3 linked regions of the Saccharomyces cerevisiae S288C genome follow. The gene in region 1 interacts genetically with each later gene. Each region holds a gene or a part of one and is shown on either strand. Other genes may lie near its edges.

Region 1 (3,881 bases):
CGATATTGTCAACTTTAACAAATTCCAGAGACTCTAAGAAATTTGAAAACAAAATCAAGGCGTATATTGAAAAAATCATAGTGCGGTTATCAGATGAAGTACCATCCACATATTTTTTCCAAGATGGCGTAGATTGTATTATTCAACCAAGTCCGATTCATAATTTCAAGAGAATGCATTGGTTAAGATACACCAAGAGGCACAATACCTTTTGGGGGAGGACTATACATAAGGACGTTCAAGTCAGCTTCAATGACAAGTATGTTGTTACTAGGAGCGGCGTGAGGTATACGAGGTATCCCACTAATTTGAATACACAATTATTGGAAACTGCATTTGAAGAATGGGACTACTATGAGTGATTTTGCATTGAGTACTTATCCACTGCTCTATTATGTGACATATTCGCAATTCGTGTAAATATTATGCATATGCATCTTGAGCATGCATGGAATATATAAATATGTAGGTTTGTTGTAATACTGTTTCTGCTGTGTCCTTCAAATATGGCCTATATGGTCGCTGGTAAAAGTGGCAGAGCTATTGTTATTGCCTTCACTGCCAACTTCATATTCATCGTCATCTTCATCTTCCGCGTTCTCATCGTCATCTTCATCTGAATTGAAAACGACATCCTTTGTCGAATAAATGTATATGCCTGGTTTGTCTAATCCCAACCGTTTCCTGACCATGGCCTTTCTCTGTTTGGTTTTTTCATTTTTCGAGCTGCTGCTATTATTGTGGCCTACGCTTTTCTGGACGATTTGGTCTGTAAAGTATAAAATTTTATCACGCGCATAGCCTAATTTCTTCAGCGCTACATCTTTATAAGTTCCCCTATCATTGAAATGCATTCGATCAATGCTTCTGCCCACTGATATCTGATCTTCTGGGTCGTAGCGTGATATGGTCTGTAAATCACATACTTCCGAATTACTTGACGTATCGTGCCGATCCGTTGATGCGTCCTGAGATTCCCTCCTGGTTAAAGCGTTTTGAACCCTTAAGGCGTACTTGGCAAACCGATAGTCTTGTTGCTCTTCCTCGAAGATAGGTCTTCCCAAAATGCTTTGCGCTTCCTCTTTTCTTTCCAAAACATTTAATCTATCCAGCCACTCCCATGTGATCACGGTCGAAGTGACATAGCATGTCGTGTTAAACACTTCACCCAGTTCCGATATCCATAAGTTCGACACATCGGCAAGGAAGAAACCCGGTAATAGAAGCACCACAAGAATAGTCAATAGCGTAAGTAAACCCATTTGATTGAATTTAAACCACAATTTTTTTTTCTGCCAGATGTGATAAATGACGATTGATGCATATGACGTGGCGATGGCAATACGGAAAAGGTAAACAAATGGCCGCAGAATCTGCCAGTCATTTCTGTGTTTTGTAGTATGGTTAGCAAACGGTGGAATTACCCATAAAATATTTGCGGTTATTGTTAATATCACCCCAATAAAAAAAATTATTCTCTTTTCCTGAGCTCTTTGAAATAGCCTAATGACAATGCCGACTTGGCAAAATTGGAACATTAAAGTAGCCAAGAAATCCAAGACAACAAATGTCATATCATCGGAAAAGATGTGCATAATGGAATGAGCCCGAACGACACCATAGACATTGTGCTCTTTTTCCAATCTCCGCAACACCTTCGTGATAAAAATCGTTAAGTTCAACGAGGCTAACAACGAGGCTATCCTCAGTAGTTGTAGAATTCTCTTATATGCGCGCCCGCTGATATTTATACAGCATATCACAGTCAGGAACACTGTGATGACAAAATTAGAAGTTATCGACAAAATCACAGCATAAATCGCATACTCAGCAGAACCGCCGACATAATCGCTTACTTGAATGAATTTTTGCCAGTCATTGATCACCTCATCAAGATACCTATATGGGGAAGAGTTTCTTAGCACCGTAGATACATAAACGGGCACTCTTTCACAGCAGAAACTCCTAAAAGTAATATCTTCTGCATATACTGCCGAATTGTCATAAAGAGGCAATTGTATCAGCACCCCTGAACCTAGCTTCATTGGATGACAGCTATTGTAAGCAGCCAATTCTTCTGGACTATGTCTCCACAAGTTCATGTTTGCAGAATCGACTATTCATCGAGTGTCTTCCTCCTTATGTGCTACTAAAAACGATAGTCTAAAATGACTGATTAAGTGCGCACAGGAAAGAAGAAAACAGGTAAAGGACACCGAATCTGTAGTACCAGTCTTTTGTCTTTCTTGTAACTAAACGATGTGGGTTGCTCTTCTAAAGTACTTATCTTTACTCGCCGATACAACGGGTTCCATCTTCTCTTTCAATAGCTGCTATTTTTCTGTTCGGGCAGTATCAGAATTAACAGGATCAAACCTCGTTTATGTCACGTAGAAAGAAAGTAGCTAAAAATAGCTAAAGGGACATCTAGAAGCTTTGTAGGAGTCAAAGAGTTGCGCACCCAGAACCATTGTAATTAGCATGCAGAACGATCAACAGAGGTTCTCCCTGCAAAATAGGACGGTACTGGCGCATCCATACAAAAGGCTAGGAGGGGCATTTACGGTGAAATCACCGTCTGTTCCTAACTTTCATGATAAAATGCATTCAGATCATAGTTCTAGCGACTCAGCTCTGGTGAACGGAAGCTTTAGAGCGAATGATCATCGCTCTGTGGAACCAAGTTGTTTGGGCCAAGCATCCCCCTCTGAACATGATGGGAATTTAAGCGTTATTGACCTGTATGGAGACGAAGTGGAATCCCAACGTGCCGAAGGAGAGGATGATGATGATAATAATGGCGATAATGGTAACGAAGATCTGGAGGAAGTGCACAGTGATGACCTCGATTTGGTTCCTGATGATGACAACCGTCAGCGTGTAGAATTGGAGGGTGCCGCTAGTGCCACAAGTGCGAATTCCAATGGAATCAACAATACCCATTTTGATCGATACGGTTTCAAAAAACAGAATAATTACATATCTGAAGCAGAATACGATAAGTGGTGGGTAGAATATTCGCAGTACTGCGTTCGCCGTAAGCACAAATGGCAATTGCTGTTGGAGAAAAGTGGGTTGCCAGTGACCGATGATTCTCCTTCACGATTTCCATCAAAGAGTGAACGGTTAAAAAGGTATGTCAGAAAGGGCATTCCAGCGGAATGGAGAGGAAATGCATGGTGGCATTTCGCTAGAGGGCAAGAGAAGTTAAACAAGAATAAAGGCGTCTATTCACAACTTTTACGAAAGATGAAGCAGATCAAGAAACAAAACCCTAATGAAAAACAAGTTCAAGACTTGGATATTATTGAACGTGACTTGAATAGAACATTTCCGGACAATATACATTTCCAAAGTAGCTTGCATAACAAAGAGGGACCTCCGATTATAAAATCTTTACGCCGGGTGCTTGTTGCGTTCTCTCTCTACAATCCGAAGATTGGCTATTGTCAATCTATGAACTTTCTTGCAGGCTTGCTATTGTTATTTTTAGACGAGGAAAGGGCCTTTTGGATGCTAGTGATTATTACTTCAAGATACCTACCGGGGGTGCATAATATCAATCTAGAAGGTGTTAACATCGACCAAGGGGTACTGATGCTATGTGTCAAAGAATATATTCCAGAAGTTTGGTCGTACATTAAGCCTTCCATTGACCACCACCAAAAAAATAACAAAACTTTTTCTCCGTCAAATAAAAAAGTTTTATTCAATATGCAAAAGAATGAGTTCTTGTACAGACTTCCGCCCATTACTTTGTGCACGGCGAGCTGGTTCATGAGTTGCTTTGTCGGTGTAGTGCCGATAGAGACCACGCTTAGAATATGGGATTGTCTGTTTTACGAGGAATCACATTTTCTATTCAAAGTTTCGTTGGCTGT
Region 2 (2,645 bases), on another chromosome or scaffold:
GTCTCGTGCTTTAGAAATGGAAAATTTTAACTTCAGCTACTCCTTGCAAGACGGACAAAGGAATTTAACTAAACAATACTTGAAGGTACCAGAGAGTGAAAAAATGTTCCTGATATCGCCCCCAGCATCACCACCTCCCGAATTCGATTTCAGCAAATGTGAGGATGCGCCACAAAGGCATATACAAAGTCATATACAACAGGACCAGCAGCAGCGGTTGGAAGCTAGCCAACTATTGCCTAATAATCCAGACAAAAATAACAATGGTACTTTCACGTTATTGAAATCAAAGGTGGGCGCAATTACCATTGATAGATGTCCCACGAACGATGGAAATGGACAGATGCAATTAGCGGACCACGTTAAAACCGCTTTCCCACCAAAATCTATATTCGATACTGATGACGATGATTAAGATGGCGAGGCGATTTGTTGGCTTAAGAGACTTAAATGCTTACGGGTGGTTGCTTTAAAATATAAAATATATATGACCTAAGTAAATATGGTTTTTTCTCAGGACCGGATTATTCATCGTCACTATCTACCAAGGCGCCTCTGCCTCTTTTAACTTGGCCTATCCTCTCCTCGTCCGAGTCTACCTCCTCTTCATCAGAATCTATTTCGCCATCATTTTGCGTTTTAGCATCTTGCTCTGAATCACTTTCGTAATCACTATCAGAACCTTCGTCACCATCATCTGTGTCACTTCCACGGCCAGAATTGACTTCTTCGACGGCGTCAAACCAATCACTATATACATCAACAGGCTGTGATAATGAATTTATGCGCGTTTGGAACGACTGCCCACAAATCTTGCACGATAAAGTTCCTATACTATTTTTTTTGTCCAGAGTGCATGAAACTGATTTTTCATGATTACAAAATAAACAATTGAATTTCGTATCTAATTTTTGGACCAGTCTCTTGGTAGGCTTTCTTGTTGACTTCTTTCTTTTACCCATGGCTCGTTAATTGTTTTCAGTGTTTTTTATGACATTCTTCTTCATAATTCTCCCCATCTTTATTACTATTCCTTTTCCAATTATTTGTAGATTATTGCTTTACCAAAGTTTAATCATTTTAAACGTTTTTGTTTCTTCCGTTTTCAGAATTTTTACAATTTGTCACCGAAATAGCAGTTTTTGTTTAATTTTAACGCTATGGGGTAAAAATTTTGGGCCCAATTTCAACTGAAAGAAGAGATATTTTAAATATGATAAGATAATCTTATAACTACGAATTTATTATTTTGTACGTGTCATAATAAATAAGGAAGTGCCTGAAGAGCGTTAAGTAACTTTGGAATCTTCGTTATGAAAACATTGGCTATTTGTTTCAGAAAAAAGCCGTTTAAGTACTTAAAAGAATAGTTATGTTTATATAGGTATGGTGACGAGGCTCTACATAGGACTAATAATGGTGATTTCCCGTCCAGTTTGGTTTACCCTCGTACCATCAAAAGCCTACAAATTCACAGGAAAATCGAAAAAAGATCCTTTCAAAGGTATTTTTCGTCGTGGTTTATTTCCAATGTTGTCATCTTTTTGTCTAACATCTCTCCCACCGATTTTGTCTCACTAACGCGATGATTTTGAATAGGAATGTAGTTTGAACTGTGAAATCATGACAGAATAAGCATGTTACATATAAATATTGGTTACCGTATTTCTTACGCTAGCATACTTCAAGTGTCTTTTGTACTTCTTAAGTTCTTTTGTTTTTGGATAATGATTTAATGCGACACATTGAAAAGGATAATGAATTCTTGCTGGGAACCTCGAACCAAATATTGTGACCTGGAAATGTTGTGTGCAAGACACCGTGAAATCACGCAATAAGACATATCTATACCGTGACAACTCCAAAAAATCCTAAAAACGGCAATTACGTGCAGAAGAATAACGGAAGTTCAGATAGTGGAGAGAAGAATTTATTCTTGTCCCTAAAATGCCCACCAGAGCAGCACTTCTAGTAAGCACATGCATGCTCCACCGCAAATCATCATATTGACGGTATCACACTATAAAAGAATAAAACATGTTGCAAGGCATAATTACTACCGAATTGCAAAAAATTGAACACCAACTTAGCGTGGTTCTATCAGAGAACGACATATCAATTCCTCACAATGAAAAACTAACTGACTAGAATACTTCCACTTTGGTGCCGCATTTGATGAAACAGCAAATAATACCTACACTTAAGTTGAATGAAGATTTCGTTTTCTTTGAGATAGCTCGAGGACATTCACGAAAGAAAAAATTTTAAAGAACAGTTTATAAGCTCTTTTTTAGAATCCTATTCTGTTTACTTCACTGTTCACTTACTTTCGGTCCCACATCTACAAAACATCTACAACAAGAACGTGGGCGATACAGCAAAAAATCACTTGAAATAACAGAATCAAGTTTCTTATCCGATTTCCTACTTTTGAGCTCCGGCTTATGTTGAAGATGTTACTTTTCTTTGTCTCTAAGTGATCTTTATTTTTCTGGCTCCAGTGAAATTTGGTAATAGCATAGTCACTTCAACTAAAGTCTGATAGTAATACTTGCAAATATTGCAAAACTTGGAAGAATGTTAATGAATCATTTCTTGCACCATTCTTTCAATCATCTCAATCTCCTGCTGTGATGTTTAAGTAT
Region 3 (4,686 bases), 510 kb from region 1:
ATTAGAGCAGTCTCGTCTCACGCTGTTTCACTTGGTTGTTGCCACTGTCGCAAGAAAGAACTTTTATATTTACGACCTTTTCACAGAGCTCATCGATAATTTTTATAATAGTATATTACCCGAAAATCTTCCTTTATGTGCGGGATGTATAGATTATTGAAATGTCTTTTCCGTAGTACTACAGCAAAAATGCAATAATACATATCAGATATACACATATATACATGAATGTTCTGAAAGTTTAATCTCTTTCAAAACAGACAGCAAAGAAACCAATACCACCGTCACTTTTTGGTAGTGCCCTGATACAACCCTCGGCAAGCTGTTGAGGGTCATAGGTGACTCCATCTCTAAAAACCTCTTCGAACTCTTCTACCTTGCCTCTTCTAGGCCAAGAAGGAATAACTTCTCTTTTTGGCGCTACTTTCCAACCCCATTCTCTAACTGACTTATCTAAAAGAAGGTCTATGACGACTCGTTCATTTTCTTCCGCATGAATGGAACATGTGCTGTATACTATTTTTTTAGCCGCTGGGAAACTCATTGCATGCTTTACCATCTGGAACTGAAATGAACTCAGCTTCGCTAACCTTGTCTGTAGTTCTTCCTTTGCTATAAACTCCTCTTGCTCATCCGGCACAATGCCACCATCGTCATCTTTATCATCAATTTTCCTTCTATTAAATGAGTCAAAAAACTTACGACCAAATATACCGCTACCGGAGCAGCTCGGATCTACAATAAAACAAGTAACGTCCTTATATTTTTCAGGAGTAGCGAGCTTTGTAAAATCACCTACATTGACACTGATGTTGGGAGAACAGCCAGCTATCTTGATCATTTTTTGTAAAACTTTTGCTCTTTCAGGATCCTTCTCGAAAGCGTATATTCGAGTATTATTGTCCTTCGGTGGTTCGGGATATATATAAGAGGCCGTATGGGTAGTCTTATTACCTGGAGCAGAGCAGGAATCTATCACAATATCACTTGGTCCTGGATTCAAAATGTGGGCTGGAAAACAAGAAGCACGATCTTGAATGATAATCTTCCCATGCTTATAAAGCTCATGTGCTGTAATTTTGTCAGACGGATGAATTCCAAACAAGTTTGGAATAAACTCATCATAATAGATAGACCCAGGAACTAGTTCAGACCATTTGTCTACCTTTAAAGTAAACTTCTTCCTCAATTCGGCTAACACCGGCTCAGTCTCACCATTTGGATGGCATTTTAATGGATTGATTCTAATCCATCTAACAGGAGGAAGGTCATTGGAAATATCCTCGCTTAATACCAACTCAGATAGCTCTCTTACTTTCAATTTGAGTTTCAATTTGACCATTTCGCTATGCAATGGGCTCTTAAACTTCAAAACATAATCTTTGATGGGGTGTTTGCCCATTTGAATTCTTTTCTGCTTAGACAACAGCAAATCATGGCAAAGCAATAACAAAGTTAGCCTTGAAAAGAGTGGTTTGCCCTTTTTCTTGGGTATATCTTCCAATATGTGTGCCTTTTTCATCACTTTCTCCAAATATGGTTTATATTTCCAACACGAATCGAGAACTGCATAAATATGTTTTGGATTACTTTTCAGCTTATATCTTTTACAGCTTTTCAGTACCAGCGTCTGCATAGAGCCGGAAATCCTTTCTTTTGCAGCCTCCTTCTCAATATCTTCTAGCACCCATGTTGCATCCCTGTAGAAATTCATGCTTTTTCGTAGCTAACTTCTCAGTGAAACACTTGGTGAAGAACCAGCTCTTCTCTTAACCTCATCGAATATTTTAGGCCAGTTTTTTTTTTCCTCACTTGCCATTTTCCCGCACCGTTTGGAAATCTCGAGGAAAATGCTTCTTTCCAAAAGTTTAATCAGGTCACTAATTAGGTAAATAGAGCTGGGAGGAAGCATATACAGTGTTTCGTCTGTGGAAGGAACTTTTATTTTTCTTAAATGTTTTAATTTTTAGTGACCTAATTCACATAACAAAATATTGAGAAAGGGAAAGTTGAGCACTGTAATACGCCGAACAGATTAAGCATGGATTCTGTAATGGTTAAGAAAGAAGTACTGGAAAATCCAGACCATGATTTAAAAAGAAAGCTAGAAGAGAACAAAGAAGAAGAGAATAGCCTCTCTACTACTTCTAAAAGTAAAAGGCAGGTTATTGTTCCCGTTTGCATGCCAAAAATCCATTATTCACCGCTGAAAACTGGTCTTTGCTATGACGTTAGAATGAGGTATCATGCAAAGATTTTCACATCGTACTTCGAGTACATTGATCCACATCCAGAGGACCCAAGAAGAATATATCGTATTTATAAAATACTAGCAGAGAATGGTCTGATTAACGACCCCACTTTAAGCGGCGTGGATGACCTTGGTGATTTAATGCTGAAGATACCTGTAAGAGCCGCAACCTCCGAAGAAATCTTGGAAGTTCATACAAAGGAACATTTAGAGTTTATTGAAAGCACAGAAAAAATGAGCCGAGAAGAGTTATTAAAAGAGACTGAAAAAGGTGATTCCGTATATTTCAATAATGATTCTTACGCGAGTGCTAGGCTGCCTTGTGGTGGCGCCATTGAAGCATGCAAGGCGGTTGTCGAGGGGCGTGTAAAAAACTCTCTAGCTGTCGTAAGACCACCTGGCCATCATGCAGAGCCTCAAGCTGCGGGTGGTTTTTGTCTCTTCAGTAATGTTGCTGTTGCTGCCAAGAATATCTTAAAGAACTACCCAGAAAGTGTAAGAAGGATAATGATTTTAGATTGGGATATTCATCATGGTAATGGCACACAAAAGTCATTCTATCAAGACGATCAGGTGCTATATGTGTCATTACACAGATTTGAAATGGGTAAATACTATCCTGGGACCATCCAAGGACAATATGATCAAACTGGTGAGGGTAAGGGTGAAGGATTCAATTGTAATATTACTTGGCCGGTCGGCGGTGTTGGTGATGCAGAATATATGTGGGCATTTGAACAGGTAGTTATGCCTATGGGGAGAGAATTCAAGCCTGACTTGGTGATTATTTCTTCAGGGTTTGATGCCGCGGATGGTGATACTATCGGACAATGTCATGTCACCCCAAGTTGTTATGGACACATGACACATATGTTAAAATCTCTAGCTAGAGGTAATCTTTGTGTAGTTTTGGAAGGTGGATATAACTTGGATGCGATTGCAAGAAGCGCTTTGAGTGTAGCAAAAGTACTAATAGGGGAGCCTCCTGATGAACTACCTGATCCATTAAGTGATCCCAAGCCTGAGGTCATAGAAATGATAGACAAAGTAATTCGGTTACAGTCCAAGTATTGGAACTGTTTTAGAAGGAGACATGCTAACTCCGGTTGTAATTTTAACGAACCTATTAACGACTCGATAATATCTAAAAATTTTCCTCTGCAGAAGGCTATTCGTCAACAACAGCAACACTATTTAAGCGACGAATTTAATTTCGTTACTTTACCGTTAGTAAGCATGGATTTACCAGATAATACAGTGCTATGTACTCCAAACATTTCCGAATCTAACACTATAATTATAGTCGTTCATGATACTTCTGATATCTGGGCAAAGAGAAATGTTATTTCAGGTACAATTGACTTATCCTCATCAGTTATCATTGATAATTCTCTAGACTTTATCAAATGGGGACTTGACAGGAAATACGGCATCATTGATGTAAATATACCTCTAACTCTGTTTGAACCTGACAATTACTCAGGAATGATTACATCCCAAGAAGTTCTAATATATTTATGGGATAACTACATCAAGTATTTTCCTTCTGTTGCCAAAATTGCTTTTATTGGAATAGGAGACTCATACTCAGGTATCGTACATCTGCTTGGTCACAGGGATACTAGGGCTGTTACTAAAACGGTAATTAATTTCTTGGGAGACAAGCAGTTAAAGCCACTAGTTCCTCTAGTAGATGAAACATTGAGTGAATGGTACTTCAAAAACTCACTTATATTTTCAAACAATAGCCACCAATGCTGGAAAGAAAATGAAAGCAGAAAACCAAGAAAAAAATTCGGTAGAGTTTTGAGATGTGATACGGACGGGTTAAACAATATAATTGAAGAAAGATTTGAAGAGGCTACAGACTTTATACTGGATTCGTTTGAAGAATGGAGTGATGAAGAATGAGGAAAAACTGGCCATTAATAATTTTTTTTCGGCAACCTTCATGCCTTATGAAAGTTGAATAATAATAAAGTTGTTACAATGTTCATTGTATAATCCAATATATCTAAAATAGGAAAAAGAAATGAACAAATGCATTAAGCTGTGTTTTACTAAGTATTATGGGAAAACGTATACATTAAAGTGGATGCTTACATATATAACACATTGTAATAAAGGTTCTTTGAACATGTTACCAGCCTCTTCAGAGATCGATCCGGTTCTGTTGAGCCAAATACTCACTTATCCAAGGATAACTTTCGTCCCGCGAGGAGCAGTGGTTTTGGAGGAGGTTTAGGCTTTAAATGTGAAGGCTTAGGTGGTGGGGTAGGTTTTGTTTTTTTGTCTTTTGAAATCGGGCCACTTGATTTCAGCATTGTTGGCTTATCTATCTCCCCTTTCTCATGCAGCTTGACCTTGGACATTTTCCTAGCGTTGAATGACTCCTCAGAAGAGTTGAGTTTATCGATCATACGCTGTTGAATGGA

Evidence for each region.
Region 2: mutations in RIM21 (region 1) and ELF1 together harm fitness more than expected from each alone (negative genetic interaction), as found in Saccharomyces cerevisiae (3 studies listed by BioGRID).
Region 3: mutations in RIM21 (region 1) and HDA1 together harm fitness more than expected from each alone (negative genetic interaction), as found in Saccharomyces cerevisiae (3 studies listed by BioGRID, with this or other methods).

What each region holds. Positions count from the first base shown.
Region 1 is NC_001146.8:78,159-82,039, forward strand, and holds RIM21 (Rim21p), read right to left. Parts: upstream 2,103-3,881; coding exon 501-2,102; downstream 1-500. Other genes in the region: MRX6 (Mrx6p), read left to right, coding at 1-362; Rab GTPase-activating protein MSB3, read left to right, coding at 2,482-3,881. UniProt on the Saccharomyces cerevisiae protein: Required for the proteolytic cleavage of the transcription factor RIM101 in response to alkaline ambient pH. Required for growth at alkaline pH.
Region 2 is NC_001143.9:151,586-154,230, reverse strand, and holds ELF1 (Elf1p), read right to left. Parts: upstream 963-2,645; coding exon 525-962; downstream 1-524. Other genes in the region: RCN1 (Rcn1p), read left to right, coding at 1-415. UniProt on the Saccharomyces cerevisiae protein: Transcription elongation factor implicated in the maintenance of proper chromatin structure in actively transcribed regions.
Region 3 is NC_001146.8:591,186-595,871, forward strand, and holds HDA1 (histone deacetylase HDA1), read left to right. Parts: upstream 1-2,041; coding exon 2,042-4,162; downstream 4,163-4,686. Other genes in the region: rRNA (cytosine-C5-)-methyltransferase RCM1, read right to left, coding at 242-1,714; serine/threonine protein kinase ARK1, read right to left, coding at 4,438-4,686. UniProt on the Saccharomyces cerevisiae protein: Responsible for the deacetylation of lysine residues on the N-terminal part of the core histones (H2A, H2B, H3 and H4).